3 linked regions of the Schizosaccharomyces pombe genome follow. The gene in region 2 interacts genetically with the main gene of each other region. Each region holds a gene or a part of one and is shown on either strand. Other genes may lie near its edges.

Region 1 (11,079 bases), on a different chromosome or scaffold from region 2:
GTACCGGGTTTGGTATGTATTTATAACTGAATGAGACCTTTATGCTAATTTATAATAGCTTTACCCATAGTATTTGTTAATGTCGGATTAATTGGTACTGCTGCTGCTACAATGAGTTGCGTTGGTGGATCTATTATATTTCTTGTTATTACTTTATATTCTCAAGCTTTTGTTCAACACGAAGAAGAATTTTAATATTTATTTACTTGATTATTAATTGCTCGTTTAATGCTTGTCTTTTCTCATACTTTGCTCTCCCCTTAGTATTTCTTAGTGTCTGAAGAGTTATAAGGATTCGTGTTAATATTAACAGTTTTCTTGAATTTTTCAGATGTTCAATTTCACGGAGCATTGCTTTCAAGTCTTGATTCTTGAAGTATGTTAACGAAATATCTTACTCATTGGCTTTTGACTATAGTTAACCTGTTTCTCTCGTTTTTGGGTGCTTTTTACTATAAGAGAAATACTGGAATTTTTCAGTTTCTTGGAATTTTTATATTGATTAAATATCTAGTCATTGTCAAAATAGATATTACGTTACATATTTAAACTAGTAATTAGTAAGGCCGAAGTATCACGAAAAGTCACTTTTATGATAAAATTAAACTATAGAATGTATTCGTCTATATGAATTCTGGACCTTAATAGTTTTCTATATGAGTAATTTAAAATAAGATTGTACCTTTCTCTGATTAGGCGACATTTAGAACTTATCCTCTCTAGCTACGTGCTTCTGAAGATTGTTCAATATCGACCTAAATACAAAGCAATTAATGAGTCAGTTTATAAATTAAATCAATTAGAAGGTGAATATTACTTGTTGAGTGAAAATAGTGGGTATTCAATCAAGAAATTGAGCACCGCAAAGCTTCATATTAAGATTCTCTACATGAGGCCAGTCGCTTCTTGAGCCAAAGGTCCTTCAGTTTTCCAAACTTCACAATTTTTGAAGTCTTTACTAACAAGGTTTATCTAGAAGAAAAATACACCTGTTTCAAAGTCATACTAAGAACAGGAATAATAAATTTAACTAATCATTAGGGTCTAGTGTCATTTCTCCAACATTTCGGTTTTATTGTAAACGTGGAGTTTCATTAGATTGCTTTGAAATTACTCGACCTTTATTCTGCATCGATAAATTAGAACGTAGTGTATATACTTGGCATACTATCTCGATTTACTATTCTTACTTTCTTAGAGCGTGCATTTTTAATAGAAGAAAAGAATAACTGAAGATGAAAGTAGGTCGTTTTTTAGTCATAATTGCTTTTTGTTTTTATGTTCTTTATCTCGAGAAAATTATTCATACAAGGCCACATAAAAAGTGCGATTGGCGGTCTTGGGAGCAATGGGAGAGTACTGGGAATCCAGTAAGGATTGCATTGGTTGCGGATCCTCAATTAGTTGACGATTTGACTTATGATTATCCTCGACCTTTAATTGGAATCGTTAAATGGATTTCCGACCAGTTTCTTCGTCGGCATTGGCGTTATCTTCATAAATCACTGAAGCCAGATATTACTTTCATAATGGGCGATTTGATGGACACAGGTAGAGAATTCGCAACTGAAGAATTTAAAAAAGATTATTTCAGAATGATGAACGTCCTTGACCCAAAATTCACCAATAAATTGGAAATCTACCCTGGCAATCATGATATTGGATTTGGTAATCACGCTATTGTTAAGGATATTCAAAGATTTGAATCTCTTTTTGGTCCAACATCTCGATCAATAGACGTTGGCAATCATACACTGGTTATTGTAGATGGAATTCGTTTATCAAACAACGTCAATCCCCAAGTTTATCAACCGGCTAGAGACTTCTTAAAAAGCTTTGAAACAAATAAGGACAACTCGAGACCTAGGATCCTTCTATCTCACGTTCCTTTGTTTCGCCCTGCCATCAATTCTTGCGGGGAGCTTCGTGAAAAAGATGATGTTATCAAATATGGTTTGGGATATCAGTATCAAAACTTGCTTTTGCCAGAACTTTCCGAGTCTATTTTAAAAGCTGTTGAACCAATTGCCGCATTTGCTGGAGACGATCACGATTATTGCGAAGTTGTGCATAATTACCAGGTGGATACTCGAGAAGCAGCCACCACGGAATATAATGTGAAGGCATTTTCTATGACCAGCGGCATACTATATCCGGGATATCAACTTCTCTCATTGAACTATCCTTATGACAACCCTAAAGCCGATCAAAAAAGTTCTTATCAGACAAAGTTATGCATTCTTCCTAACCAAATTCAAATTTATGTTTGGTATGGTGCTTCTATATCCATCTTTTTTGCTCTTATATTATTGAGGACTGCTATCTTTTTTTTTGGAACTGACCGTTATAGCCTCCCACTTTACAAAACTCATGCACGCCGATTTTCATTGTCAACAACAATTCATTTGTTTAAAAAAATTGTGCGCATAACCCTTTCTACATTCATCTCATATACATGGATACCGTTTCTTTTATTCATCTTCCTTAACATCTTCATTATCTGATCTATAAATAATATTTAAGATTAAATAAAAAAAATTAATTAATGATGGCAAGGCACAATCGTAATCAATCTTTTAATTTAGGACTTTTTATATGCCCTTATGGCTCATAAATAACTAGTAAAGTCCGAAAAATTCGTGCCATTTTGAAGCTTGGTCTTTGTTTGCTCGTCGAGATTGTAGTCTTCTGGTAAAACTGAAGCTTGAAATTTTTCGCGTAATCTTTTTAACTGTCGTAATCTTTCAGCCCATATATGAACATAATCACCAGCACTGCGATGATATATATGTGAAAAAACGGCAGCGTTCAGAGTTACATCACGAACAATTGCCGGTAATGCATCGCTTGAAACAATTTTGTAACGACGGAATAAGCTAAAGTCAATATCATATTTGGTCAACGCTTTAACTTTATAAAATTTAATTTGACGCCCTGTTCTTCTGATAGATTCGGATTCAGGGGTAATAACAATGTTCACAAAGTTGAACTGACTAGGAATTGTATCAAAGTCGTACTCTAAACCAGATTCGTTGAATATAATAGTAACAAAGTCATTTCCAATATGACGCTTCTTTAATGTGCACCCAGGGTCATGTTCTATATTAGTTGGCATCATTGTAGTGCAATGGAACACCATTTGGGTAACTTTATCTTTCCAACAATACGCAAACGCACCGTCTATATCATTTTCCCTATCTAAACCACCAGCGAAAACTTTTTGATCTGTTTTTAATTCGAATAATGTGCCCAGACCGTTAAGAAAAGTAAGGAAATCTTCAGAAGGATTTGTATTTGCCAATATGTCTGCTTCTCGACGCTGTTGGTACCCAACGTACACAAGACCAGCCTTCAGTGATTCAATTACAGGAATACGGTCAAAAACACTTATAGCCCTACGCACAGAATCATCATTAGAGGGAAGCAGAAGAGGCTGATTGTATAAAGAAATACCATGTGGATCCAAGAAATGAGAGACAAAGCTGCTAGGAGTACACAAAAGCCCCCTCGTAAGAGCCTTTGAACTTGTGAGATTTTCCTCCCATAAAAACTTTTGCAGACTTGCTTCATTTCGAAAAGTATACTGCGTAGTACCTGTCGGGCGACGAATGACAGCTTCTAAGAATCCAGAGTTTACCGACACGTTTATCGTAAAGAGTGAATTACCACGAATCCAAGTTTCACTTTCCACGTCTGAGTCAACAAAAGTAGATGTTTGGTTATTGATGTCGGAATTAGAATAGCAAAATTGTTGCATCATGTCATATTGAACAAGACATAAATCTTCCAATGGTTTACCTTCAGAAGCAAGCTTCAGTCCACGCAATATCCAAGGTACGAATTTTTTACGCTCAGTTAATCTTAACGAAAGAAACCATATTTGTAACACGCTATAGGCTAGAGCTAGAACGTATGATGAGTAAGAGTTTTTTAATATGCTCTCCGTATCATTTGAATCTTTCGACTCCTTAGTGAAATCTCTGTGCTGAATGTATTTCAAAGCAATTGCAAAAATTTGTCTATAGTCAGCATCCGTAAAGTTTGCAATAAGATCAGGTAATCTTGCTAAACTGCATAAAAATTCTAAAATGTGAACGCTCAAATCAGGTTTGGTGATTAACCTTGACAAAGTGACTAAAATTGCAGGTAACTGCTTTCGAATTGAAACGGGTAATTCATAACAGCATAACATAAGTGAATGAATAGAAACATGACATGCTTCGTTCCATTTTTGCAACCCTGCAAAAAAAACGCTGACTAATTCATCTTCCTGAGCCCTGCTGAATTGATCATGATAAACAAAAAGCATTTGTACGTTTTGCAAGATTGGTATCATGATGTTGGCCTTACGAATATTAGAAGGAATTTCAGCAGATATAGAAACTCTTTCAAAAACGATATCACACATAAAATCAAGTAAATTATAGATTTCTTCTAATGCGCCGATAAACATACTCCTATTACTTATTTGATCAGCAAGGTGGGTAATCATGAACATAAGGATAGTCCAGTTAGACTCTGTAGCCATGGATTTTCGATAAAACCTTAACAAGGAAGACGTTGGGAACGTTACAAAGTCCTTGCCATATTCTGTAGAATGATTTGAAATTTTAATCAAATCGTTTTCTTTTCGTTCCCAAATATGCTTTTCTACTGTTGCTGAGTTAACAAAAGAATCAGAAATGGGATAAACTGCAGGAATCAGTTCTGAATCAACGTTTAAGACTTTGAAGGGTTCATTCAAATCTATATTCTCACATATATAAATAGACGTCCCATTTGCTCGAAATCGAAGAAAGAATTGTAAACACAACATTCGAGAAACAAAAGGGAAAGATGGAGTCTCCAAGATTTCTAACATTTTAGCCAGTGTTTCTTGAATAGGCACAGCATCCCTTAAGTCATAATAATAATAAAAAAGACGAATTAATGTACTCGTGGCAAGTCTGCGAACAGTAACAGAGCTCGTGTCGGAAATTAGCTGTTGAAAAATATGATCGATACAATCCTTAAGTCCCGGGTTTTGAAAATTGACAGACAAGAAAAACAACATATTATATACAGGAGAAACAACACAATCATCAGATTCCTTAGAAAAGCTTTCAATTACTGGAAAAAGGAATTTCGAACACAAAATGGGGGCCGAATTTTCATCAGCAACAGAGCAAGCATCTTCCACAAGCTTAAATAAAAGAGCTCGATCTTCAAGATCAAATGTTTTGCATTGGTAAATACCAAGTAAAAATTCAAGGTTGAATACCCAATATTGATTGCAAGGAAATATAAGATTGTAAGTCTCAAAAAGACGTAAAAGTTTTTTTCGAATTTTCGGCTTTAACACTGGAAGAACATCCTTCAAAAAGAATACCAGCTTAACCTGAAATTGTTGCAGCAGTGGAATCAAGGCTTCGAAATCCAAAAAATCCAAAACACGATCATATATATTAGCAAATGCTGCAGTCTTCGAAAATGCTTCCTTCGATGTACTAGCTTTCAAAGGTAGATATTGTGAACAATACATTAAAATATTAAGAATCCGATGCCAATCCAAAAAATTAAGGCGATTTAATATAGAAGGTGTACGTAAAAAAAGATACACAGTACCAAGGATCTCAAAATCAACATTCTCATTAAATCCTAATGGAAACTCAGTAAATTCAATACTTGAACTTAAAGTTATAGAAGCTATTGCATCATTTTTCACTTCTTGCAGCATGAGAAAACGCATTAAACGCACAGCGCCCCGTACAGCATTAACATTCGAGCGATTGTATTGAAGTATATTAAATACGTTTTCAAAAGCCAGATTTGACACGGGACTACTAATAAGATTAAATATAACAGATTGTGCAAGTTTCGAATATGAGTAGGTGCTGATGTATGTGCTACACAAAATAAGAACAGTATCATACAGTGAAGCTTTTGGAATAACCGAGTAGCGAATCATGGAATCAAAAAACATCAGAACCTCAGTAACCACATCTTCTAAGCGAGCGTGATTACATATTTGTACCACGGAATTAACAAGCTGTAGCATTTGAGGTTCAGGCACTAGGAACCACTGAAATTTTACTAAGTTGGTAGAAAACTTAAAAAGGCTTTTAAAAAAAAGCAAATGTACGAGCTTTGAATCTGCGTCTTTGCCTTGCAATTCAGTTGCTTGAGATTGCCATTGAAGATACTGGTTAAACCATGCACTCAACAAAGGACCAACCCTATTCTCAATACCGGAGATTTTGTGCCCTTCATCCGTTAAAACACTCAAACTCTTAAGCCGAAGCTGTAATTCAGCAATATCTTGAAAAGGATCTTTCTCAATAGTTTGAAAAAAAGTGTGGCGCTCTATAATCGAGAGATGCTTTTGTGTAGAAACATATCTCATCATAAGATTGTATACAAGCTCCCGAAAAGCAGCATTATCGTTTTTGGTGGAGATAAAATCCTGAATATTTTGCCATACTTGAATGATAGAAGTCGATGAATATATATAGTATTTTAAGCCATGGTAAATACTCCTTACAATCTGATGCCTTTTTTTAAAAGGAAGGTTAGCATCAAAATATGATAGAATGTCTGTATCTTTGATAGCAGGCTCACTAGAAAGATCCAAAAGTGATTTATTGTTCATCTATGTGGCCTTTATTTTTCAACGTCAATAAATTAGGACCTTCAGCAGAATAACCACATAAAGCAAATCTGAACTCTTAACTTAATGGAATATTCAAGATCATAAACTATGAGCATGGAAGTTGATTTCAAGTATTAGCTACACTGGTAGGGGTGGGGAGGAGAGCTGACAGGCTGCTATGAATTAGGGGAAGCATTACCTTATCTAAGAGGAATAGGTTGAAACGACATTAAAACTAATAAATAGAAACTTAGTATTCGACATTCAAAATTCAAAAAATATATGAAGTTATTTAACCGTAAAAACCAATTGCTAAGTAGCTAGGTCGCGCAAACATATACATAACTTGAAGGGTCTATTAAATATATACAAAAGTTGGGATTTAATAGTTAATGAAATACTATGGATAAAATCAGAGTTTCGGTTGTCGGGGATTGTATGGAAGTATCAAAAATTAAAAAAAGGGAATTGAAATGATTCAAGAATTAGCAAAAACATCTGGTCGGCTTGACTTGATAGAAAAATTCCGACCAAAATAAGCCGCAAGTTTGAAGGGTTACAAAATCGGTTATGAATTTTTATAAAATAAAGGAAAAAAGACTTGCCAAGAAGCGAGTCTCACAATGGTCAATGGGCATTATTGGCAAATGAAGAATTAAAAAATTAAGTAGGTTTCGGACATTGTCATTCAATGCTATAAATGAAACATCGCTAGTTCTTACAGATCCTCATAAGACCAAATTCTTGCTCGTAAGTCACCACTACCAGTAGCAAAGCAATGGCCATTCGGGCTAACAGCAACCGATATTACTGAGTTATTGTGTCCCTGGAGAGTTAACTGAGAATGAGGAGAATCGGGGGACCAAAATTGGATGGTTCGGTCTTTCGAGCCGCTAATAATCCATTTTCCATCCGGAGAGACAGTGACACTTAGAATAAAATCTTTATGTCCAGTAAAAGTTTGCTTGCAAATACCGCCTTCCTTATACATGCTGGGTGCAACGTTGGAGACGCATTGCAACTCCCATAACTTAATTGTGTTATCCAAACTTCCACTAACCAGGTATTTTCCGTCAGGAGAGAAGGCAACGCTGTAAACACTCTCTTCATGACCATGAAGCTGCTCTACTAAAGTTCCGGACGATGTCCAAATCCTAATTACCTTATCTAAAGAACCTGCAGCAATAAATTGACCGTCGGGAGAAAACATTACTGTAGTAACACCATCATCGGTATGCAAAATTAGTTTTTGCTCGCCAGCTTCAACATCCCAAAGACAAACAGTTCTATCTCCACTACCAGAAACCAATGTTTTTCCATCTTTGCTAAAATCAAGGGAATAAATTTCTTGCTCATGCCCAGTCAGTAGACGATAAACACGTTTTTGAGCGATGTCCCATATTCTGATTTGTTGATCTTCGACACCAGTAGCAAGGTATTTACCATCAGGACTAAATGCTACACTGCGAACATATAAATCACCTTCACGCTTCGAAGATTCCTCCTGCAGAAGCGTAATTAATTTACCGGTCTCCACATTAAAAACCATAGCTGCTCTGTTACAACCCGTAGCCAAAAATTTTCCATCGGCACTAAACCTTACATAACAAATAACGCTTGTGTGTTCCAGTGTATGAAGTAGTTGAACAGAGATCGGGGGTTCTTTGTTAGGTACATTGCTAGTGACAGTCCAATCTTTCTCCTCTCTATTAGGCACATTGGATGTCGGAATAATTTCAGCAGGATAAGGAGGATTACCTGAGACTTTTCCGTTTACAACCAAAGGAGCAGCGATAGGTGTGACGGAAGAATTAGCTGAGTCAGATGGAGGTGGAGGATGTCCGAGCGGTAAATTGGAAGGAAATGCTGTGAATGGTAAGTAAGAAAATCCAAATTAAAACGAGGAAGCAAAATAGTTTCGGCAATAGTATTTTGTTTTACAAAAAATGAACAAAAGCCGCAAGGAATTCAAACGAATTAATGACAGCATTAAAAAATTGTCTGGGAACATACGGTGTACAACATACCAGATGCAAACAATAAAGTGAAAGACAAAAAGTATCTATAAACTTGATCAAGTCAAAAAACAAATGCTGTTGCCAAAAGCTACAATGCAAGCTTGAACTTACTTCGCATAGCAGATCCAGCCATGGTTGCACCCACAGCAGGGCGTACATGAGGACTGGAATAATATTGTGAACCAAGATCTACGTTCGAGGTCTGAATAGGAGCTAAAACAGTACCATCTGAATCAATGGCAGGTGATCGAAGATTTTTAGGAGTTCCTCCAGAAGAACCGTTATTAAGTATCAAAGGTTTCGAGGAGTTGTCCGAGTTAAAAGGGCCCGCATTTCCATATTTTCCAAAAGAAACGCTATTGCGCCCGTGTTTAGTTTTCGAAGACTGTGGGACGACGCCAGAAGCAATTTCTTTGCGTCTAGCTTCCAGTTGAGCTTTTAAGGAGGTGATTTCTTCTTCGTAACTAGAGAGAGTTAGTAACAAGAAAGATAGCTTTCGAGAAAATATAATATAAAATTGAGAATAAATGTTCACATAGCAGAAGGCATGCTGGTGCTGACAAAAGTGTGAAAAGGACAGAGAATCTTCGAACAGTGATAAACATCCAAATACTGAGTAAAAAACGAAATACCCTTCATCGGAGTAAAAATATGAAAAGATTACTTAATAGAATTTACTCCCATCAAAGGAGCCACCATTATTTAGCATCTTTAAAGATTTATCGTCAACGACCGTAAATTGTATAAATATTTAGAGAGGAATCGCTTTTGTAAGACTCTACAACACTCACAATAATTGCATAACCTTGTACTAATATAACAAACCTTCTCGCCAAGCGTGTATTAGGAAAATTGACATACCGATCCTTCACTTTAGACTGCTGCATCTCCAAATCCATAACGGTTTGTTTCATGAGCGCCATTTCATTAATTTGTGCAGATATCATTGCTAATTTAAGAAGTGTTAGATTTGTACCGCAAATTTGTCAGCAAATTCTTGTATAAGATACCTTTATATTCAAAATCATCCTTTTGAGCTTCAACGGTTTTAGTTTTTTGACAAATATCTTCAAATTCCTTTTTAACCGCTTCTAAAAGCTCATTTACACGTGATGATACATTGGACGTCGCCATAAATTGAAACTTGAAGATGGTAAAAGTGAATTGGCGGACAGTAATCATGAATGATGTTGTTTGAGAAATAACGAGAAATAACATTCGTTAATTTCGGTAAAACCTTCTCGGCTTCGAAGCTAAAGTAAGCAAACTATGTTGAGATTAACATGTCAGGAAAGACAATTTCACTTATGCTTAGCGAGACAATATTGTTGAATTAGTAATTTGGCTGTTCATTCAACTTGCCGCAGTTGGAAAATGTAAAATCATTAATTTGTGATGAAACCTCGTAAAACATATTTTTTAACGTTAATCGATTGAAACCCTTTTTGAATTAGTTCGTGAAATATCTTAACTCTAAAACCTTGAAAATCTTTAGATAGAAGATCCTTTTTTTTTTTTTTTGGGAAGAATATGAAGCGTTTTGATACAATTGGTAATAAAACATTATTTGGTATTGGTTTTTATTGGAAGTTTAGTTTTACAAAAGTGTAGATGTCATAATCCTAATATGAATTCTTAAAGTCAATCAAGAAAACTATTTTATGGGTATTTTGAAACAAACTTACTTTAAGGATGAATTCCATAGAAGTTAACGTAATTTAATTTCATCTTGATAGTGAATAACTTTGAAAACACTATATGCTATTTCCAGAAACTAGTCTCGAATTTTCATACGCCATAGACGGCCTGCTCCTCAGCCCATTGACTTAATTTACTATGATACACTTCCTAGATTTATTGAAAGGGTTTGTTTGCTTGGCATAAATATTCATTTAGTATGCTACTCGCAAAAACTTCAATTTTAAAGCCGCTTTGAAGAATAAGTTATTGCTGGTGGAAAAAGCTATCCTAGAGCATCTGAAAACTACCACTAACATGAACAGAATGTAAAGCAAATAGTACAAAAACAGATATTGAGCTGTGCAGTAAACACATAAAAAAAACATTACTTGAATGGAATGTTTTTACTTATATATGGCACATATAACAAGAGTTGGATAAAAGGATTAATACATAACGTTAAGACATTTAAAAAAAAAAAAGAAAAAAAACCTCACAAAACTTAATATTCGTAAGAATTTTTTTGTAATCATGACAAGGAGCCGCGTTCTTTTGAAAGTGGTTCAGTAAAAAGCATCGTTTGGTTGTTAATGGGATAAGGATTCGTACGTGCCGAAATTCGATTGTGATTTCCATTTAATGAAGAATAATGACAGAATCGATTTCCCGAAGTACGCATTGGTAAAGAAGCAGATGAAGGTATGATAGGAACAGATCCTCGACGCATATTCGAGAGTGGAGGAATTGGAACCT
Region 2 (11,079 bases):
AAACGAATTTTATCTGCTTGGGCTAAATGCTTGTTAAAGCGAGAATCGAGAGAATTAAGAACAGTTAGCCGAATATCTGGAACAGTATCGCAAATACCAACTGTTAGAAGCTTTTCTAGCACTTCGGCAACTACTTGAATCGCATGATCACTAGTCTGCGATAAAATAGGATCACGAGCAAATAGTTGGGAGCAGGTTATGGAGGCGGTTTTGCGTACTTCCGGGTCATTGTTTTCAAGGTATACAACTACACAATCCTTCACAAATTCATTAAGAATATAACCGGAGAAGTCAAAATTTCCCAAAACTTTTAGAGCCAAAATATAGACGTCATTGGGAAAAAATCCTGTCTTCAGGGAAGCACTCTTTGAAGATTTTAAAGATCTTGCTACATATTGGGGAGGACATCCTGGAGGAATAAAAGGACGACCACTTAGAATTTTGCTGAGCATATCTAATAGTCGTTCCTGTATGACTGGTAATAATGGAGGTATATTATGGGCCAGATCTGAGAGAGCACGGTAAGAAGCCTCAGAAAGTCCGCTTGCAAATATTAAGTCAAAGAGGTCATACGCATAGTTTGAAAAGGCTTGTCCTAGTGCTATAGAAAGTAGGCTAATGCATTGAAAAATTGCAGCATCCGAAGCACTTTTATTACGGATATGGATTTTTAGACTTTCCTTGATTGAATCGCATATGGGGTCAAGATATGGGATTATGCTATTAGTAATAGCCACGGCAACTTTTCCAATAGTGGCAAACGCCAACATCTTAACATTTTCTTTTTTTAATAGATTAAGTAGATGGAGCATACAAACGTGTAAATAATTGGAAACAAATTCATCTGGATTATAAGCTGCGAGTGTAGCAATCAATTCTGTAACGGTTTTGCGAATAAGCAAATCTTTGTGATCTCTGAATTGCAATATAATGTCCGATACTTCTCGATACCTCTCATGCATAAACATTCCAGCTTTTAAAAATAATTGGCGATATACTAGTAAACTACCATGAATGTAATCAGAAGAACCCTGTGCAACACCACGTTGAGCTTCATTGAGAATACTTGTATACCATTGGAGACGGATGGATGAATCCCTTTGCCTAACGATTTTCAAGAACTCACTCAACGCATCAGCCGAAGCTATTCGAATAGTAACTTTTGGATCCCGAAGTCCATGCCATAAAAGCTCAAAAATTGAATCGATATGAGCATAGATTAATGTAGACGTATTTTTGGCAAGCTCCTTAAGTATAAGCACTGCTGCATATCTACGATTTTCATTACGTTCTCCTTGAAGCCATTCCAAAGCGCGTTTAACTTCGAAGTTCACAAATTCAGAAGTTAGAGCACCTCCAGGAACTGCAAGTCTCCCTAAAGCTTTTGCAGCAAGAACGGTGGCTTTTTGGTCAGTTCCTGGAAGAATAATACGCAAATAATTTGCAAATCTAGTAATCCTTGTAGTATCTTCTCCTTCATAATCAATTAGACGATTTATGGCAGTTACGCCTGCCAGACGATCGAGTGGATCGGTACTGTGAATTAAAGTATAAACGTACTTGTTAACATCATTGTTAAACTGAACTAAAGCTTCGCCCGATAATTCTCGAGAATAAGCTATAACATATTCATAAAGATCATTTGCCGCTTTATTGCGAATTTCTTCATTCCTGCTTTTCAACCCAGGAAATTCTTTCATTATATACAGCTTAAATTAGCATCATTCTCTCAATTAAACAAAATTATTAAATGTGGTTGGTGGTGACCAAACAAGCACCTGCTGTACTTTTGCACCTAATTCTTAGTATACGCAGAGAGGAGATCAATAGAAACACGATTGAAAAAGTAATATTTTTATGACGATTAATTATTTGTAATAGATATACAAGTTAATATTTAGTGTTCTCAAAAAATCCAAGTTTTATTAAAAAAAGTCTAAACTTAGGAACTTTGGTAAAATACCAAAAACGAGTGTTGATTATCTAAATTTTATTTTCGAAGTATTACTTTAAGTTTTTTACTTTACATTTTTCTCAAAGCTCATAGAGGAGAACAAATAAGAATCGCTGTTAAAGATTCTGACGCTAACCACCAAGTTCACAACACTTGTGATATTGCTAATATCCCTTTCTCTATTAAATGGTTCTGTATAAAAACAAAAAAAAACAAATCATTAATTATGCAAATTCGAATTGGGGTCAAAATGAAGGTGTAGAATTTCAAGAAACTATGCTACAATGCATCCTCGAAGCTGTCATTGTAAGTAAAGATGCTAAGCAAGTACTTAGTCTGTTACATGAGTTAAAGCTTTTTGAGAATTTCCTTTGGCAGAGGGTTAATACTGAGATGTCATTGAACCATATAAACTTAACTTGTATGCTTCTATTATACAAATCCAAATATGAATATATTACATGGGACCTCATTGATGAAAATCGGTTTCAATTATTTTTTGAAAAAGTAATTGAAGTCTCTTTATCCTTAAATTTATCAGAAGTGGTTTACATGATTCAATTCATTACTCTCTGTTTTCAGTTTTCGAATATAGAGAAATTAAGGAAACTTGTTTACCAGTTAACGAACATTTCTATTTTAAATTCGCTTGATAATCTTGATAAAGTAAAATATTTACTACATGACTCAAGCTCTCTGACGAAAGCCTTTGATTCTTATAAGGAAAAACGACCGTCTATCGTTGAAAAGTTCCCTTTACATAATTTACTTTCCCGCTGGATTCATTCTCTGCTTATTAAATCGATTAGCTACGCTCAAACTGAAAAACAAGAAGCGAAAGTAACCCCCCTTTTAGCAATTATCAATATGTCTTTGGTTTTACTATCCGCATTTCCCACACGTCGCTTTGCTCATCCCGTAATAGAAGACAGTTGTTTTTATACCGCATTAAGAATGTCTTTGTATTACGACAGTAATGAGCTTTTTAAAAAAATGACAGACGACTTAAACTATGTTTTGAAATTCCCTTTTGATAATACCAGAGGTAACGAATATGAGAAAGAACAAAAAATCAGAAATGATGAGCTTGTGTACTACCACTTACAGTTAACTTTATTTTCGGATTTTCAGAAGGAATTAGGGGATCTGGTATTTTGCACACAAACCTCTTTACAACAGCGACAAAAATTGGAGGAAATTACGTCTTTTCTTTCCTTCAATTCACTTAAGTCCTTGTGTAGTAAATGTTATTTGAGGACTTCATTTCCCGAAAAATATGCTATAAAAGTGGATTTCGAATTTTTAAAAAATGTTTTTATTAACACGTATGATAGGACTAGATTGGTAAATGATTATGATGAAATCATAAATTTTACTTTGAAAGATGTACTTGGTGAGCGATCCGTGATGGACCAAGAAAACTCTTTGACCAATTACTTCCTACTACAAAACACTGCTATACAATATCTTTCTATATCTTTTTTTATGAGACAACAGAGTAAAGCTTACAAAAAGTTATTGTTAAGGTCACTATATGCTGAACTTTTAAATTTCAGTGAACAATACAGGAGACTATCAATTAAAAATGCGACCAAGAATTTGACCAAAGATAATTTTTTCTCTTTAAATAACTTTAAAGTTACCTCCGTTGCTCCACCTCAAATCGGTCAAGTTTTACCTCAATTTGTAAAGTGTCAAATGGGTTTAAGTCGACCTGGACCTTTTCATTCAGCGTTACGTGATTTAAAGAATTCCATCAAGAGCCCTTTTCTTTGCTTAATATACATTTCTAAAGATATGGAGTACAAGTTATTACATGGTAATGCGCTTGACCCCTTAGAAGGGGTGACTGATTTTACAATCGCGACGATATGCAATGATGATGTTGGAATGTTTCAAAGCGATATGCAGTCAGATTCTGACAACAAGTCCATCAATGTATACCTAAGCCCATTTTATTATCATTCCCTTGCGGGGTTGGGGGAATATCGCCCTAAGCAATTGAAGTTCAACTTTGCTTTGGTACTGTCTCCTGAGGCAAATAAGTATTGGTTGGACTTAAATATTCTTGTATCTTTACTTAATCGCGCTAAAGAATTTCCTAAATGGTTCGAAGATTTATTTTTGGGTTTTGGAACGCCTGATATATGTGCTTTTCCTAATGCTGGGCTTAATTCTATTTATGCTAGAAACTTGTTCAATACAGTCGAACAGTTGCAATCAGTACTTCCTAATTGTCATGTACCTTCTAATTTATCAACTGAATCTTTACTAATCAAATTTTATACTAATCAGAACAAAATATCAGCTGATGTTACCGCATCTGATAGGCATTTTTTACTACCATCAAATCGATTATATACTTACAATGACAAACAGCTAGAATCGATTTTACGTGGATCTCAACCAGGATTAACTATGGTTAATGGTCCAACTCGTTGTGGAAAACATGTTTTGGTATGCAAACTTCTAGAGGTTTTACAAGACACATCTCCCAATGATAGAACCGTTGTACTTTCTGACTCCAATTTCTCTATGAATACTTTGTTTACCTTACTGGAAAAAGCTAGATGTTTTCACCAAGGGCACCTATTATATCTATCTGATGAAGGAAAAGACGAAACGTTGGAACGTTATGGTACTTTATCGTCTTGGATATCTAAGCTTCCTGGTCTTCTACGAGAAATCGGTCGCCTAGCTGCTTCAATCCAGGCTCCAGGTTCTCATGACGCCAGCCCAGATACGGCTTTGTATTTTAGGGATGCTTATATTAAGCGACTTTGGGAAAAGTACTTGAACACGGTAGATGATAAGGATTCTGTGGATGCCTATAACAGGTTCCCTTTCCATTCGTATTTCGGTGACAAATCTAAGCGTCCGATAGAAACGTATAATAAAGATAATTTTTTCGATTATGCGACAAAGTTATACGGGGAGTTAGAATATATGTTCCAACAGCTGGAAGAGATCCGGCCTTTTGGATTACTGAGATATTATGAAGATCAAGAATTGTATGCATTATGCCAACAATCTAGGATTATCGGATGCACTTGGACGAGCTTAAGTACACGCTTAGGGACTTTGAAAGAAAAGGGATTTTGCTTTAACAATTTAATTGTTATGAACTCACAAAATATAAGTGAAAGCTCTATCACTAGCATACTACTTTCAAACTGTGAACCAACTGGTTTTGATCGCCTTGTTCTTCTGGGTAATCAATATCTTACCTCTGGGAATCAGGATATAAATAATACGTCAAATGGTTCACTTTTCAAACGTTTGCGGTATTTGAAATCCAGAATTATTGACCTTAATACGCAATACAATGTTAGAGAATCTATCAGTTCTCTATGTTCATCAATTTATCCTTTGGACATCAAAACTGTGGATTCTAGTCCCAATAAAAGACTTGATTATGGTAATTCGGGGTTTGCACATGAGGTCCAATTTATTAATGTGGGAGCTTTTAAAGGTTCTCAAGAAACAGAACCCGTTAGCGGTTATAAGCAAAATCTTGGAGAAGCCGAGTACGCAGTTGCCTTATTCCAGTACATGCGAATGTTAGGTTATCCCACCAACGAAATTGTAATCTGTACGCTTTATGAGAGTCAAGTCAGCCTTTTAAATGAAATTATATCGGTACGCTGTTCTCATAACTCGTTTTTTGGTCAGCCTGCTTTTGTAGGTACCGTGGAAAAATTACCAAGCGATAAACGGGTAAACTTTGTTATATTTACGACAGTTGAATCTAAAGAGGCCTCTGATCATTGGAATCCAAAAACATTTTATAAAGCCTTTTCAGCATGCTCATATGGTCTGTACGTATTGTGCAACCGTGACCTTTTTCGCTCTACACGTGGTCTTGAAAAACTGTGGAATGAAATTGAAAAGACTCCTGACAAGCTGCTTTTAACCACGGGAGAAATATATCCAAGTTCTCACAAAATCGGATCTTCCGTTGAAACATTTGAAATTGAAAATTTACTTCATCTCTCAAACTATGTTGTTGAAATGACTAAAAAAAGGTTAAATACGAATTAAAATAAAAACCTACTTCATATAGACTATTTGCTTGTTGTATTGAATTAATGATTATTTGTAAGATTAAAGTCATTTTATTTCATTGCTTTTTTGCATAATTAACTTATTTAAAAAACTAAATAGTGAGCTTTACAAACAATAAAAAGTTGATCCCCTCAGAAAAAGTCTTAGGTGTCATACCGATAATAGCTCACTACTTTATTCAACTATACAACAAGTTGGGTAATACATTATTTGCACGAAGTTAACGTCCAATGATTGATTGGTCGAATGAGTAATAAATATAACAATTTATTAAAAGAAGTTGCAGCTAAATATGCTAGTATCATTCTAAATGATGCGAAAATTAAGTCTTTAACTTCAATAAATAGTGCCGAATATCTATATGATTCATTTGTTGAAATTAGTAAATTACCACTGGAAAAGAAGCTTCCGTTAAAATGGAAACTGATTACAGTAAAGGAAAATATTTGCACGAAGACAAATTTAACCACGGCAGCCTCTAATATGTTGAAGGGTAGACAATAAGAATATATTTCAGTTACTAATTGCGGTTTAACTAGACTACAATTCTCCGTTTGATGCGTCAATTGTCGAAAGCTTGAAGAAAGCCGGCGGTATTATTCTTGGTAAAACAAATATGGATGAGTTTGCAATGGGAGTCAAGAGCGAAAACAATCTTTTTGGTCGCACTGTTAATCCTGTTGTTAAGGATAGTAATTACGATGTTGGGGGCAGCTCGGGAGGAGCTGCTGCTGCAATCGCGGCGGATATATGTTATGCATCAGTTGGTTCAGACACAGGAGGATCAATCCGTCTACCTGCTGCTTACGTAGGTTGTGTAGGTTTTAAACCATCTTTCGGCAGGATTTCGAGATATGGAATGCTTGCCTTTGCCAATAGTTTTGACACAGTGGGTATCGCTGCAAATAATGTTAAGGGCGTTACCAAAGTATTTAATGTTTTAGACCATCCCGACATAAATGACTCAACCTGTTTAACTAAAGAAGCTCGTTATTTTGTTAAAGAGCAGCACAAAAAATTATCGCGGAAGCCAATTAAAATAGGAATTCCAATTGACTGGAATGTTTCTGAGACTCATCCAAACGTTTTAGATAAGTGGAATGAATTCATATCTCTTCTGAAATCAAATGGTTATCTTGTCCAAGAAATACAGCTTCCAATTTCATTATACGCTAACAGTGTATATTCCACAATGGCTTATGCAGAAGCGACTTCAAATTTGGCTAAATATAATACTATCGCATTTGGCAATTGTTTAGATGAAAAGTTCGAAGAGGAAATAATTTCATCTACTGCACGCTCTTTTTTTTTAGGAGACGAAGTGAAAAAGAGGCTACTGCTAGGCGCTTATTCACTAGCAAGAATGTATGATATAACTGATTTACTAAGTAGTTACTAATATTTACAAATAGGAATTCCTCTGATTTGTTTTCTAAGGCTCGATACGTTCGCCGAGCCATACAGCTGGAATTCAACAAAAACTTTTTTCTACCTTCCTTTTCTGTCGATGATCCCAGGGGTGACATCGATTTCATAGTTACCCCTTCTTTTTTTAATTCCAGTCAACCCATTGAAACCCCGTCCTCTTATAGTCATCTTTCAGATACTATGTTAGTTCCAGCGAATATGGCTGGAATACCATCCGTTAGCATACCTTTCGGTACTTTGAACAATGGGCTTCCAATGGGAATTCAAATTATGGCCCAATATCTTAATGACGAAGATTTGTTGTCTTTTGCAGGCCAGTTTGCATAGATTTCGGCTGCTTATCTAAACTCTCGAAACATGGCTATGATAATCTTTATGAGCATAATAATTCTTTACTGTTTGGAATCAATTTCATACATTGAAACTTGTTTGCAAAGAGTTTTGGAGAACTTGTCATCAATAATTCGACAGTTTCCCTACAACTGCGGTAAATCCAATAAATAGATGTGGATTCTGAATCATTTACACTTCTCAGCAACATAAATTATTTTTACATTTCAAGTCGCTAGTTTATTCAACCAAAAAAAATGCATATCTGAAGGATGGAATTTAACGGGTAAGCTTTTAAATACAAAACCAGGAGCAATCGGTTTGTCAGATAATGAACATAGTGCACTGTCAAGATATATATGATAAACAGCAACAATTGTATAATTTACCAGATAAATTAAATTTGATTTAATCGAAATAAATGTCTCAGTGCAACTGTAAATGAATTTTTTGACATTATAATAAGATAACGCACTTTGTGAAATTGCGTATTTATGCCTTAAATCCTAAACGAATGCTAACCAGATCTACACATTTAGCATTAGTACGCTTTAAACCAGTTGTTTTTAAAGGTTAGGATAATTTAAAACAGCTACCTTTCAAGACTCCAATTTTTGTTTTCAAAGCATGACTACCAAGCAATGGGGTATTACACCGCCAATTAGTACTGCACCTGCTACTGAACAGGAAAATGCTTTGAATACGGCTTTAATTAATGAGTTGAAGAACCAAAACTTGTTTGAATCTCCTGCCGAATCTGAAAAAAGAGTAAAGGTTCTTGATGAGTTGCAACAAATAACGACAGAATTTGTAAAGAAAGTATCACTTGCCAAACATATGAACGAAAAGATGGCTAATGAGGCAGGGGGGAAAATTTTTACGTACGGAAGTTATAGACTGGGCGTTTATGGACCTGGATCAGACATAGATACCCTAGTCGTTGTACCCAAGCATGTTTCTCGCGACAATTTCTTTCAGGACTTGGAACCTATGCTTCGAGAAAGAGAAGAGGTAACTGACCTTGCTGCTGTACCTGACGCCTATGTTCCTATTATTAAGTTTAAATTTTTGGGAATAAGTATAGATTTAATTTTTGCTCGTCTTTCAGTTCCGCGTGTTCCCCGCGACCTCGAATTGTCTGATAATAACTTATTAAAGGGTGTTGAAGAAAGATGTGTGCTAAGTTTGAATGGTACACGTGTTACGGATCAGATTCTGCAGCTTGTCCCTAATCGTGCTGTTTTTAAGCATGCTTTAAGAGCCATAAAGTTTTGGGCTCAACGTCGTGCAATATACGCTAATGTCGTAGGATTTCCTGGAGGAGTCGCCTGGGCCATGATGGTAGCTCGAATTTGCCAACTATATCCGAATGCAGTATCTTCTGTGATTGTTGCTAAATTTTTTCGTATTCTTCATCAATGGAATTGGCCTCAACCAATATTGTTAAAGCCCATTGAAGATGGCCCCTTACAAGTACGTATCTGGAATCCAAAACTTTATCCATCCGACAAAGCTCACCGTATGCCAATTATAACCCCGGCTTATCCATCAATGTGTGCAACTCATAACATTACTTTATCCACCCAAACAATTATCCTTCGCGAAATGGTTCGGGCTGGAGAAATTGCTGACCAAATAATGGTCAAGGCTCTTCCCTGGTCAGCTTTGTTTCAAAAACACGACTTTTTTCATCGTTATAAGCATTATCTTACGATCACAGCAGCTGCTAAGACAGCTGAAGCTCAATTGAAGTGGGCAGGTTTGGTTGAATCTAAGCTTCGTCATTTGGTTACTAGACTGGAGCTTGTTGATGCTATTGCTTTGGCACATCCTTTCAATAAAGGATTTGATAAAGTGTATAATTGCTCCAGTGAAGAAGAAGCTCAACAAGTAGCTAGCGGCGTTACTCTTGAAGTCGCATATGAATCTACGGATCATGAAAAATTAGCCAACGATACAGTTAATGAAGAGAAAGCCGACAATACTGAGAGTAAAGCTGATGGTTCTGAAAATGGTGAAAAACAAATTTTTCCTGTTTACACTACAACATGTTATATAGGGCTTGAACTTGAAAAGAAGAAAGGCAAGATACTACATTTTGAAATTAATTATGCTAACTTTATTAGGTCATCCAATTAAAAGACTTGATATTTCTTGGCCTACCCAAGAATTTTACGAGTTGTGCAAAAAATGGGATAAATATGATGACACCTTAATGAACGTTTTCATTAAGAATACTAAAAAGTAAGTCATTTTATATATATACACTCTCACACATTTTAGTACTGCTTTACCTGATGAAGTTTTCGAACCTGGAGAAGAACGGCCGAAAGCTACTAAGAAGAGGTCCACTGCTGACACTGCACATAGTACAGAGGTAAGAATTCCGATTTAGCTATCCATTCTAACGATCTTTAGCAATTAAAACGACAAAAAGTTTCAACGGCATAAATACCCACACATAAGACTCAAACCGTTGCTTGCTTAACACTCACGAGTATATCTCATCATTCATTGTGGTCTTATCTTACAACCTATATTAATTGTAGTCACTATCTGTAGACAGGATCAAAAATCAAGTTCTAAATTGTCTTCTGTTTAGCAAAACAGCTTTCAATTTTCATAGAGTAATTAAGGAAATAAACTGCTTGTATATTATCGATATTGAACCAGTATTTAAGTTTTTTAAATTTACGGACTAAAACAAATTAAGCTCTTTGAAGTCTGACCAATGTATTCTAATATTGAACACATAGAAAATGACAGCAAGGCATACAAGGATTATAAAAAATACAAAAAGAATGCTAATGCCTAGTTTCTGTAAATCCTTTCGATACAATTCCTTTTGCTCGTCATTTAAAATTGCCTTCTGAGTTCCGTTTCCCTTCTTTTGTTCAGACAACTTACTAACATAGGCCTTTTCGTACATCTCACGGAAGCGCCGTGGAAATAAGCTTTCAGATACTTGCTCAATCTTTCCACATTCAATTGAAATCTTCAAAAAGTTGGGATCTTTAGGAGTGTTCTTATAATGAATATCACGGGTGTAACGAAGGAATAAATCACAAACATTCTTCAAGTTTACAGAATGTAGAATAATCTGGACAGCCTGACCCTTCCTTATCTTAACATTAGTTTGAAAAACATCCGGGTTTCTGAAAACTGCAGCTAATGTGGCAATTGCCATTACTTGTGGAATAGCACAGAAATTAAATATTTCCTGAGTCTTCAATTGAGAAAGATAAACGAGAGCATCAGTAGCATGTGTTAAAGCATTAGCAGTCATATCAGATAAACATTCA
Region 3 (11,079 bases), on a different chromosome or scaffold from region 2:
TTTAAGTAAAATTTACTAAGAATGAGTTAGCCTTATTACAAAAATTGTGGCACTAATTTGTGAGCATAGTATCTTAATTTATACTTGATGTTTGCACTTAATCTTTTTTAAGTCATTATAAAACAATATACAAATTGAGCACGATCAATAACTGTAATGGTCAGGTTTGGTTGTACTTCAATTGGTATGTAAACAAAATATTTGGTAAAGTGGTTAAATAAATTTTATGAACAGTTAGGAATTATGTATATAGTAAAACAAAAGCATCTCTAAAATTATAAAAAATACCTAGATTTTTCTGTTGTGGGTAAATTACTTGTTACTTTTTTTATTGCCACATCTGGTTGCTATTTGCTTTCAAAATTAATTTTTAAAAAAAAAATTATTATAATGAGTAAAGGGTGCAACCTAGAAACATGTTCAGCTGAGCTTGTTAAAAATATTTGTTATGTTTATAATTTTGAAGTAGTGTATCTTAAGCACTTGCGATAGCGAACTAAATTTTTCTAAATCATTGACATTAGAAATAAAAAAATAAACTACATTATGGTGCCATTTGCCCCATTAGATTATCAGGAACATCGTGCTAGCCATTTGCTATCTACGTTTCTATCAGACCATGTCGGATTTGGTCATACGAGGAAGGGTGTGGCAGAATACCTTGCGGTGGGCGGGTTTGTATGCATTGGGCGATAAAGACACGGGCATGTTGTGGACGGAGCAAATAACACTACTGTAACCAACAAAACTAGTATTTACTTTTCAATTCTTTTTTCTGGAGCACCAAAACTTGTACTCATTATTAAAATTCTAGGGAAATTAATTAGTTGAATTGGTTAGCAATTGACGATTCATTAAATTTCCTGCTATCAACCCAAGGACATGACTTTTGCTCATTAATTTTGTGTTCGTATTTCCATTGAGGGTTTCAAATTACTAGAGTTCATTTTACTTTCGTTGCTTTGCTTATTCGGTTTGCTCTGCGCTGCCTAAATCAGATCACACTTGGTTTTTGTGCTTTTTTTTTTAAAAAATTTCGATTCATTTGAACCGTCTCACAGAAGTTTCACTTTTACATCTTCGTTTCAGTTTCTCGTTCTTTGTTCATAACCATTTTTCATCTTCCATACCTTCCAGTTCATTACTTTTCATTCATTTCATTTCATTCCATGCTGCATGCATTATATTAATCACTAATTGTTTTTCCCTTGTTCGTTCGCTTCGGTAGTTTCTCAATTGATTTTTCTTTTGATTATTCGGGAAAAAATATCTGTTCATTAAAGGTAATACGTTGGTTGCTTTCTCCTTATTACAGTCAGTTTTATCCTCGTATAGTCGACAAATCTATCTACTGTCTCCAATTGTTATAAATTTAGATCCTGACTTAAGTTTACATTACATTTCTTTTTGAATCTTCCTTTCATTTTCGAGGTCTCTCTTTACTTCAATCTTTTTTAAGTCTTTCTTTTTCTTCAACTTACATGCGCCGAGGCGCGAAATGACCTTCAGAATTCCTTCCAGCCAGGAGTCTTCAAATAAATCCGAAAAGGATACCACTGTAAATTCTCCTAACGCTTCTAGTTTCTCCTCTTTCTTTAAAAAGTCTAGTCAGACATATCTGTCCAAACGTTCAGAAAAACTAAATGAGCATAACAGTAAACTAAAGTCAAGCGGATCTTTCACAAGTAATTCACAGACCGACTTGAGTAATTCGCCCTCTTCTAAGAAAAAAAATATTTTTTATCCGATCGCAAGAGCCAAGCACTCGTTTTACTTCAACCACAACTGGTCTTCGGATTTGCAGCAAGCAAATTCTCCTGTTGCATCGTATTCAAGTCAAAGCGTTTCAAACGATTCCAATTTTCCAAAAGATGTCACGTCTCCTATTTCGACAGACCTAAGCGGTTCCAATCCTTCTTTGAAATCACCATCTAGTATCAACTCGGCGAAACTTCGTGCTTCTCGATCATTTTTTCGATTTCCGAAGTGGTCTAGGAAGTCCTGGAATCCCGATGTTAACTCAACTACTAGTTCTCCTTCTGAAGTTGGTTCTCTCGATAAAGCTGGTGGCCCTCTAAACCAGCAAAATGAGAATTTGTCAGCGGAATCTGATAATACGATTTTACAGAATGGTACTCGGAAAAGTAGTGTCAAAATGTCCGACCTGGGGAAACGCATTGCTTCTTTACCTGTAGTAAAAAGACCTCCTATCCAGTTTTCCATATCTTCTGATTACATTAAGCCAGTTGATAAAAGCGATCAGACTTCTAACGTTCCATCACCTTCTTCTTCTGTGGGTTCCCTCCGGTTGTATCGTTCGCCTTCTATTCCTAATGATGTTGAACAACCACAGCCACAAAGCTCTCGGTCACGGCCTCGTAGTTCTACGATTCCTACCCAAAGGACTTTAGAAAGATTGAGAGAAAACCGTTCTAGTATTTTTAGTTTTCGAACTTTGCGCCGGGATGATGACGAATGCGTAGCTCAGACTATTGAAAATTCGGCTTTATTTTCTGATATTAAGCCTAATCCGACCAAGTTTCTTTCTTCTGTTCCGGAGCTCACAGCAGATGATACTGCGGAGAGTTATCTCTCAAAGCTTAGAGAGACAGTTCCTTATAGTCGTATGATCCCTGTTCTAGCAGAAAAGGATCATGTAACATTGAACAAAGCTCTGCACCTTTGTATGTCGGGAATGGAGTTTGAAAATCGGCCGTTGGATTTTTGCTTGCGGTTATTTTTACTTAAATCTCACCTTCCTAAGGAAACTCAACAGATTGATCGTGTCATCAATGCATTCTCTAAGCGCTATTTTGAATGTAACCCTGGGATGTTCAGTTCCCAAGATCAGTGTTACATTCTGGTGTTTTCTTTGATGATGCTCCACACTGACGTTTTTAATTCAAATAATAAGCATAAAATGACGAAGCAGGAATTCATAAATCTCTGTGACATAGATGAATTAGCTCCGGAGATAATGGAGTATTATTATGACAATATTACCTTTACTCCTTTTGTCAACCTGGATGATGAGTTGCTTCTCATTGAGAAGGAAAAGAACGAAAAGTACAATTTCACATCTCGTAAAAGGTTAGGGCTTTCTCCTTACACATTTACGTTAGAAAATCAATTGAATATTTCACGGCCTGAAATATCTCTCTCTTATGATGGAAAATTCATATCTCCAGGTATCAAAGATATTGCGTCTTTGCTGAACGTTAGAAAGTTGATTTCCAGCCCTGCGATAATTCAGCTTGTTTCTAAAAGATCTCATCCAATGGCATTCTCCAATCATTTTATTGGATTACCAGACAATGCTGACCCGGGACTAGTTGATTTTAGTATCAGTATGCTGGGCATTTTACCACGGTGTGAAAAGAAGCGAAGAAGTGTGGGGCACAATTCATACAAAGAGCATTTGGTTTTGTTGACCGCTTCTAGAATACTTTTTTTTCGTAATTTGGTATGGGCTAAAGATCTCATGGCTCAAAAGAAAGCTTATGAAAGGCGTTACAAAAATTTTACAACTACCTCGAGCAGTTTTGACACGTTGCAAGGTATAGATACAGAGGCTATGGAATATGAATTTCCAAAAATTCCTCCGCTTGTATTTACTCCACCTCTAGAAGAGTTTTCCCCCGATACCAGTTATTCGCTTGTTAATGCGTTTGCCTATTGTGACAGAGATAAGAAGAATGTACGCAATTGTTCTTTTACCGTCATATTTCGGGATGGATCTGAAGAGACTCTTTGTGCTCCAACAGAAGAAAGCATGATAGAATGGGTAGCTAAAATTAACTACATCTCAACACTTCGTACAGCTGGTCTGCGAATGCCTGTAAGTGATTCTTACCATCCTAAAAGAGACTTTTCTTGCTATCCAAAGTATATGGAGGAAGAATTAGCAGCAATTGAAGCTCAAATGAAACAGGATATGGAAATTGCACGTGCCCGGACAATTAAGACACGTATTGACCAACTTGAAACATCTATTACTGAGTTCAATAAGAAACTCATGGTATTACAAAGAAATGCCAAAAATTTATCGACATGTGCACCCCTACAGCCGAAAACAAGAGTAGTTATTTTACAAGCCCTTAAAAAGGTCGATGCTAAAGCGCAATCATTATATTTGGAAATCAGAAAAATGGAGTCACAATTGCAAGTATTGCGGTTTGAATCTGATTTAGATAAATGCATTTCTCTTGAAAGTTCTAATGACATCGACGACAGACCTTCTTCGACAAGCCCAAGCACCCTAAAAAATCCGAGCATCAACTCAATCAATCGTCAAACACATGATGTTGAAAAAGAATCATCAGATAGAGATGTACCGCATCTTTTGGATCCTGATAATAATTTCAACTTGAAAGGCAACCCCGAAAACCCCTCATCGACATTTTTTACTCCTGAAATACTTTCACCAAAGGTTTACTCGGACAATGTTAAAGATGAGCCTGTCGAAGATATTTTTGGTTTTGAAGATACAAGCGAAAGCTCGCCCGGTAAACCCAGCCAATTGAGGCTTCAAATTGAAGCCTTTGATGATGAATTAGCTGACACAGCTAGCTTAGGTTCCGTGACTACATGTTTAGATCAATGGCAAACATTTTCGGACGATACAGATAGCGGGTTTGCTTTGAACCTGTACTCATCAGAAGATTTTCGCACGGATCCATATAAGGAACATGATGAGTTTAGTATGAATAGCCTATCGAAATGGCATTCTGCTACTTCTGATAATTAGCATGTATATCAAATGTTAACTACTATTATCTAAATATTTGTTCATCTAAAGTGATTTCTCTTTTTTTTTTTGATTTTTCTTATTTGAATTCATATCCGCGTATAGACAAGGATTCCCGCTTTATTTATTAATTATCTCTAAATCCATAATAATAAATTTTATCTCTCTTAGCCGTTCGAAAGTACACATTGCTGTAGTTACGATGCTTTAAGAACATTAATTGAAGAGCGTAACATTTGGTAGCGATTTTGATGTATTATGGCAATTCTTAAATATGTGGAAAAATTTAAGCGTTTATGTTAATTATATATTTTATCCGTCGAGCTACTTGGATTATGAGATGATCCACAAAACAGAAGACTAAAGGAATAGGTGGATAATGAATAAACATGAGTCTAATTAACTTCTAATAACAATTTTTAGTTCATTGATAAATGTCGTACTACATTTCGAAATAATTCTGCACCGCATGTAGAAAGACGAAAAAGAGTATAAACTATTTTTCTTTGCTTTTCAGCGAATACGAGTTATAAAAATTTTTTTGTTTTCGTATATTAATACCCAAAAATTAAATAATGCTGCAAACAATCAATAGCATAGTAAGTTATAAATTGAAAATAATGAAAAAGCACCAAACATAATATAAATACCATAACCGGAAATTAGTGGAATTAGGAAACAAGTCTACCATTAGATGTACTATTAATACGTTGCACCCGGCATTTCTTTTCCAGCATTTTTAAACCTAAAAATGGTGAGTATGCGATGCAAATTGTTAACTTACTTTTTCCGTTCATAAAACCAATCCGTCCGACTGGAACCAAGATTTATAACACGAGGGCAACCATCACGATCATATTCCATACGTGTGCATTCCGAACAATAATAACAATCAGAAACACCTGGAGCTCCACAAATAATGCATCGGTCTTGTGAGCTACCAAACGCGCATTCATCACATATTCTCACCAACGTTGTCGGCCTTACATGAGAATCACAAATAGGGCATTTTTCGTCACATCGTTCACATACTGTATATTCATGAGTATTAGAATCTGCCAATTATTTAACTATGCCAAATTATAGAACACTTTACACTTACACTTTCCAACAGTAATTCCTGGTTGTCTTCTGCATAATACTAAATCAGGATGATCTAATAAACGTTAGTATTTAATTTCATTTTTATTTCCATACGCTTTGACATTGTGAATATACTCAGAGGATTAATTTCAATGCAGCAGATATATATAGTAAATTTACGACGGTCCTTCGCGTTACGTTATGCTTAGTAAAATATAAACATCCTCTTCTGATTTCAAATTTCGTACTCGCTATTATGGATACGTTAAGCTGCAATACAGCCATGCAATGGCATAAACAAGTCGGAAAATGCGCGTTAGCAGTTGAAGTGCTATTATAAACAACGTATTAATAATGCTTGCAAGTATGTACCAAATATACTCTCCATTAAGCTGAGGATCTTTTTTTGTTGCGCCATATTTACGGAATTTTTGAACAATAAAGTAAAATAGAAATAAAATCTACTATTAACATTTATGAATTTATGATCAATGGACATACAGTAGTCGATGTTTACTGATGTATTGATGAAATTCAATTTTCATGGTAATCTTGTAGAATAAATAATTCTTTGTAGTAAAACAAATAAATGACGAAAATAAAGTGTTAAATACTTCTAATTAGGTACGCGATAACCAAAATTTAGATTCTTAAGTTTCAGCGTATAAACAAAAGGCACAATTACAATCGTTTTCCCTAACAGGCCAATTTACAGATAATCAACCATTGTAAATTGCAGTGTTTTGATAATATCTTCAAATTTATTCATAGTCATAAATATGATGCTAATGTATTCCAATCCTATACTTGACAATTTTGAAATTGACAGCAGAACTCGCAATGAAGATAAATTAAAACGACTATAGCTCCGATCATCCGAAAAAATAACAAGACTAATCGCAAGACTATTTTTTTTATTCATACATAAATAAAACAGGCATCACCCAATCCAGCAATCATTTCATTAACAACCTTTGGAGACTTTTTCAATGTGACACACAATTCATCAAAATGGTGCTTTCCATCCAGCAAACCAAGCAGTTTTTTCTCTTCTTCGGTTAAGTTATTCCTCATAGTCCTTCGTTCTAAGTATGGGTATTTATGCACACGATATATTAGCCCTTTTATAGTACCGAACGAGATTAGCCTTCGAACGTCTAAACCTTTGAAAATTTCTTTGTTCTCGTTCATCCAATCCTTAACACGAAGTCCTTGCCTTAAACTACAATACAGTTTGAAAATAGTAGCAAAAGTAACGTTTTTCGCATTAGAGCTGTTAGTTGATACATATGCCGTACATTCTCTTTGAAAATCTGGGTCTTGTAAAAGGTTAGGAGCATTAGTAGTCATAGCATAAATATTATGGAATTGAAAAATATCAGCTATAATTAGACAACCGTAATATAGAAAGTGTTCCATGCATTTTTGACAACTTCTATAGCTAACATTAGCTAATTCAGCAATCCTTTGAACTGAGTTTATGCCATTAATAAAAGGATAAACCTAAAAAATTAGTCAATTTTAATTTTTTTGGAAGAGAGTACCTTTTGAACAGTCATATCCCAATTTTTGTCCATGAGTAAATCCAACTGAGCCGTTAAAATTGGTACATGAAAACTTTTAACAGTAGGAGGAGAAGGAAAAACGGGAAAAAGCTTGATATTAATAGAATTTTGGTCGTCTTAGAAAGTTAGTTAAAGTCCGAATGAAATAATTGCGCATACCTAGCTGTATCATACACTCACAAAAGTTGTTCATGTCCTCCAAAATTTGCTCAATTACGCTGAAAATTACAGGTCTTTTGTTCAAATCAGATATATAATGAATTTGCTTTTCTAAGACCTCTAAATTTCTCGCTAGTCGCTTTACTAGTGGTATATAACATGCTGAATCTTCTTCTTCATGAAAAATCATACACATGTTGAAAATCAAAGCATTTCTCTCATAATTGCTACCTATAATTGATATTGGATGTCCAATGACTTGATAATGATTAGTACAAACAGTAATTGTTTTGTTGCAAAGTTCGCGTTTCGGAATCACATAGTCAGAAATAGTTTCGAATGGTAAAAGACAGTTCTTTCCACCATCAACATTTGTTACCGATCCAGCAGGAGCTTCACAAGCTACTATAGGGCCTTGTAAGGGATCAAATAATGCAAAAAATATTGCCAATAAACGAGGCGGAAAGCTGTCAGCTTGATCCATCCATCCCTCTTCAGAATACTCCATAGGAAAGCTAAAGAATTTAAAAATTTCCGAGTTTTTTATCTAACCTTTAATTTATGAAGCTAAAACTTGTAAGATATTTATTTTAATATTTCGTTATGCCCCTACTGGTGGATGCAAAAGCTTATGTGCAAGTGTCGATTTGGGGACTAACTTCAAAAACCATATAAATCTTTGTACGCTACCCAGAAAAGTAGTTGTGCTAATGAATTTATTATTTACAAACAATATTCAGATTTCTGCATTGATGTAACGGTAAGATGGAAAGTCATATAACACTTGTGTACATTGGGTCAGTAAATTATACAAATTTGATTCTTAACGTCAAAGCTTCCTGACTACAGCCACATTTCGCTACATCATTAATGTTAATAAGGTGATAAAAATCATATCTGTATTAACATTAAGGATTATTTCGTATGGATAACAGATGCTAGCAGCCTCTAGGGTTAAAAGATTTTAAAAAAGTATAAAACTTGATTTTCTTAATCTTTTTGCTTGATAACTGCGCTAGTAATATCCAGTATACACAGTAATCATATAAAAATAGTTAATCTTTGAAACGATAGTTAATAGACTTCAGTCGGATAAATCAAATTTTTACTGAACAGGAAGTTTTAATAAAAGTATTTGTGTTATTTTTACGCTAGAATTCAAATACTAAAACTAAATTTGTGTAAAGCAGTATTATTACAACTTCTGCTTAATTCTTAACGTAAGCTTTCGCTTAACTTAAACCTAAATAAAAAGATCACAAAACCGCTAGATAATTGTAAAACCTTTTATCCATTCACTGAGTCAATTATTTGTCCATATATAAATCTAGAGAGAGAGAATTGTTTTGTTACTATAATTGATTTCCTATCTTTTCAAACATTTGAAGATATAAATCGCTAGTTTCCACAGAAAATTAAAATAATGAGGCACCAAGCCATATTGACTGTATAAAAGATAAATTAAGGAGATACAGTGGAAAATTGTGATTGAGCCAGTGAATTTTTTCGCTGTTAGAAAGCAACGAAAAATACGTCAAATCATTGAAACTTCAATTAGGCATAAGTGCATGAAAGCTCGATAATTGTTCGAGTTGTTTAGCTTAAAACGAATAGATTAAAGTGCGAAAAGAGCGGATGCGTTTAATTTTTAGGATATTTGGTTTCTTTTAATGAGCTTTAGTTCATTCTTACTATATCGTTTTGTAAATAAACAGGTTCTGCCTGGTTTTCTCCTTCCTATTTTTTATAAGCAATATATCCTTAGAGTTTTCATAAACTTGACAACTTAACAAAATTAGTTGCTTGAAGTTTGAAGGGCCTCCGTTAATGGCTTTTTTTTTGTTTTTAATTTGATACGCTTCACTTTCAAGTTGATCATTATAACGTACCTCAGTGAGATAAAGACTGACGAGTCATCCAGCTCTAGCTAAGTATACTCGAGATATTTTATTGCAATATCTAATAATCATTTAAACAAAACTTGAATAATTCTGTTAAAATCGCAATTCATAAAACTGTTATGTAATTGTCATCGCTTATACATTAGCTTGTGATATTTACGTGTTTATCCGAGTGCACTATACATTAAAGGCACTACCACACCCGGCCAAATTGAATGTTTTGGGATTTTAAACATCGAATTGAACAGTCTGTTACAAATTTTAGAGAAACAACTTATGAAGCTTTTAGCCGATGTAAATTATTCTTGAAGACACTTCCAAAAACATCAATTTTTTTTTTTGACAGTAATTATACTAGAATGCCTTTTGATAATATGTTTTGAAGGATATTGTATCGGACAATTCCGTACTGTGGAATTGCTAAAGAATCTTGGAATTGACAGTTTGCCTATTTCATTAACGCTATTTATTTTTGCATGCTTCTTTATATTATATTTATGCGTAGAAGCTTTAAGTTCAAAAAATATAATTGAGGTACGTGAATTTTAAGCTATCCGTTTTTATCAACTAGAAAAAGCAAGCGGGATTTAAGTTTAATTCTTAAACAGTGCTAACATCCTTAGATCATCGGATTGCTATGCATTCATGTCGCATTATTTATTTATTCCATTGTTCAAATTTCAGAATTAGCAGAGATTCAGAAAGTTTTTCTTTCCAAAACACAATCCTCTCTTAATCCTATAACGCTAATTTTGAATAGGCATGAGGCAGGTAATGAGGGCATTTACTTTATACTTGAAGTCCCCAAGAGAATCAAACCATTCTTAATTGCGCTTCCGGTAATCCTTGGAGTAGCAAGTGTAATGTTAGGGTTCCTTGCACATGGAATGAACAAAGCGTATGGATGGGTCATCTACAAAAAAATAGGTCCTGAACTACGCATGCGAAGGAGATATTTGGTTTATAAGATATACGTGACTTTGTTAAAGATTGATATATACTTTTGTAAGTTTACTCAATTTCAAAAATTTATATCCTAATAGCTAATATTCTAGTTTTGGGAGTGACAGTACAATATGTGATGGTTCTACCGGAGGATGCTGTTGTCGAATTCGTACTTACTATTTTGGTATTACCGCTTACGGTATTGATTTTAACTTTATCATTCAACTCTGTGTCTTCTGAAAATATGTTTCTCATGATGACAGTTCAATTTTTTTACGTATGTGGCATACCGTATATCCTTTTCAAGATAATTCGGATGTATACTTCAACACAGAAAGAGTATTATGCTTCTTCAAAGCAGATGATTACCACTTTTTCGGTTATCACTCTTCTCCTTTTACTGTTCACAATTGCAATTGGTTTTGCGTGTTCTCACAATTTTAAAAAGGGTCTGAAAGAGTACTGTATGTGATGCTAAACCAGTTACTAAGAAATTCACTAACCATTTGAACACTAGTACATTTCCTTAAAGAAAAGCAAAAAAATGATGGTATTTCTCCTTCTTTGTTTTCTCCTAAGCCTCGTATGCCGATTGACGATTAAACTTTCTTCTTCTTTTTCTCTTCTCTATTGTATTATTTCTAAATGACTTTTTTTAACAGTATGGACTTAATAAGTT

The links.
Region 1: of tor2 (region 2) and tsc2, a mutation in one rescues a mutant of the other (synthetic rescue), as found in Schizosaccharomyces pombe (4 studies listed by BioGRID, with this or other methods).
Region 3: of tor2 (region 2) and npr2, changing one suppresses a phenotype caused by changing the other (phenotypic suppression), as found in Schizosaccharomyces pombe (3 studies listed by BioGRID, with this or other methods).

Annotation. Positions count from the first base shown.
Region 1 is NC_003424.3:367,337-378,415, forward strand, and holds tsc2 (Rheb GAP, tuberin Tsc2), read right to left. Parts: upstream 6,796-11,079; 5' UTR 6,629-6,795; coding exon 2,609-6,628; 3' UTR 2,505-2,608; downstream 1-2,504. Other genes in the region: protein Vps55, read left to right, coding at 1-12, 59-195; SPOM_SPAC630.12 (lipid phosphatase), read left to right, coding at 1,236-2,504; transcriptional corepressor Tup12, read right to left, coding at 7,347-8,494, 8,758-9,110, 9,508-9,595, 9,657-9,780; gluconate transmembrane transporter inducer Gti1, read right to left, coding at 10,856-11,079. UniProt on the Schizosaccharomyces pombe protein: Together with tsc1, required for uptake of various amino acids from the environment and for proper conjugation. Involved in induction of gene expression of permeases and genes required for meiosis upon nitrogen starvation.
Region 2 is NC_003423.3:920,585-931,663, forward strand, and holds the start of tor2 (TORC1 serine/threonine protein kinase Tor2), read right to left. Parts: upstream 1,769-11,079; 5' UTR 1,701-1,768; coding exon 1-1,700. Other genes in the region: protein Cwf11, read left to right, coding at 2,141-5,995; gta1 (glutamyl-tRNA amidotransferase alpha subunit), read left to right, coding at 6,266-6,512, 6,559-7,384, 7,432-7,774; mRNA cleavage and polyadenylation specificity factor poly(A) polymerase Pla1, read left to right, coding at 8,405-9,860, 9,904-10,021, 10,061-10,154, 10,196-10,228; squalene synthase Erg9, read right to left, coding at 10,476-11,079.
Region 3 is NC_003424.3:2,489,365-2,500,443, forward strand, and holds npr2 (Npr2/3 complex subunit Npr2), read right to left. Parts: upstream 8,199-11,079; 5' UTR 8,063-8,198; coding exon 7,555-8,062; intron 7,512-7,554; coding exon 7,375-7,511; intron 7,334-7,374; coding exon 6,749-7,333; 3' UTR 6,480-6,748; downstream 1-6,479. Other genes in the region: guanyl-nucleotide exchange factor Sec73, read left to right, coding at 1,499-4,747; RING finger-like protein Ini1, read right to left, coding at 5,450-5,492, 5,532-5,778, 5,850-5,903, 5,945-5,954.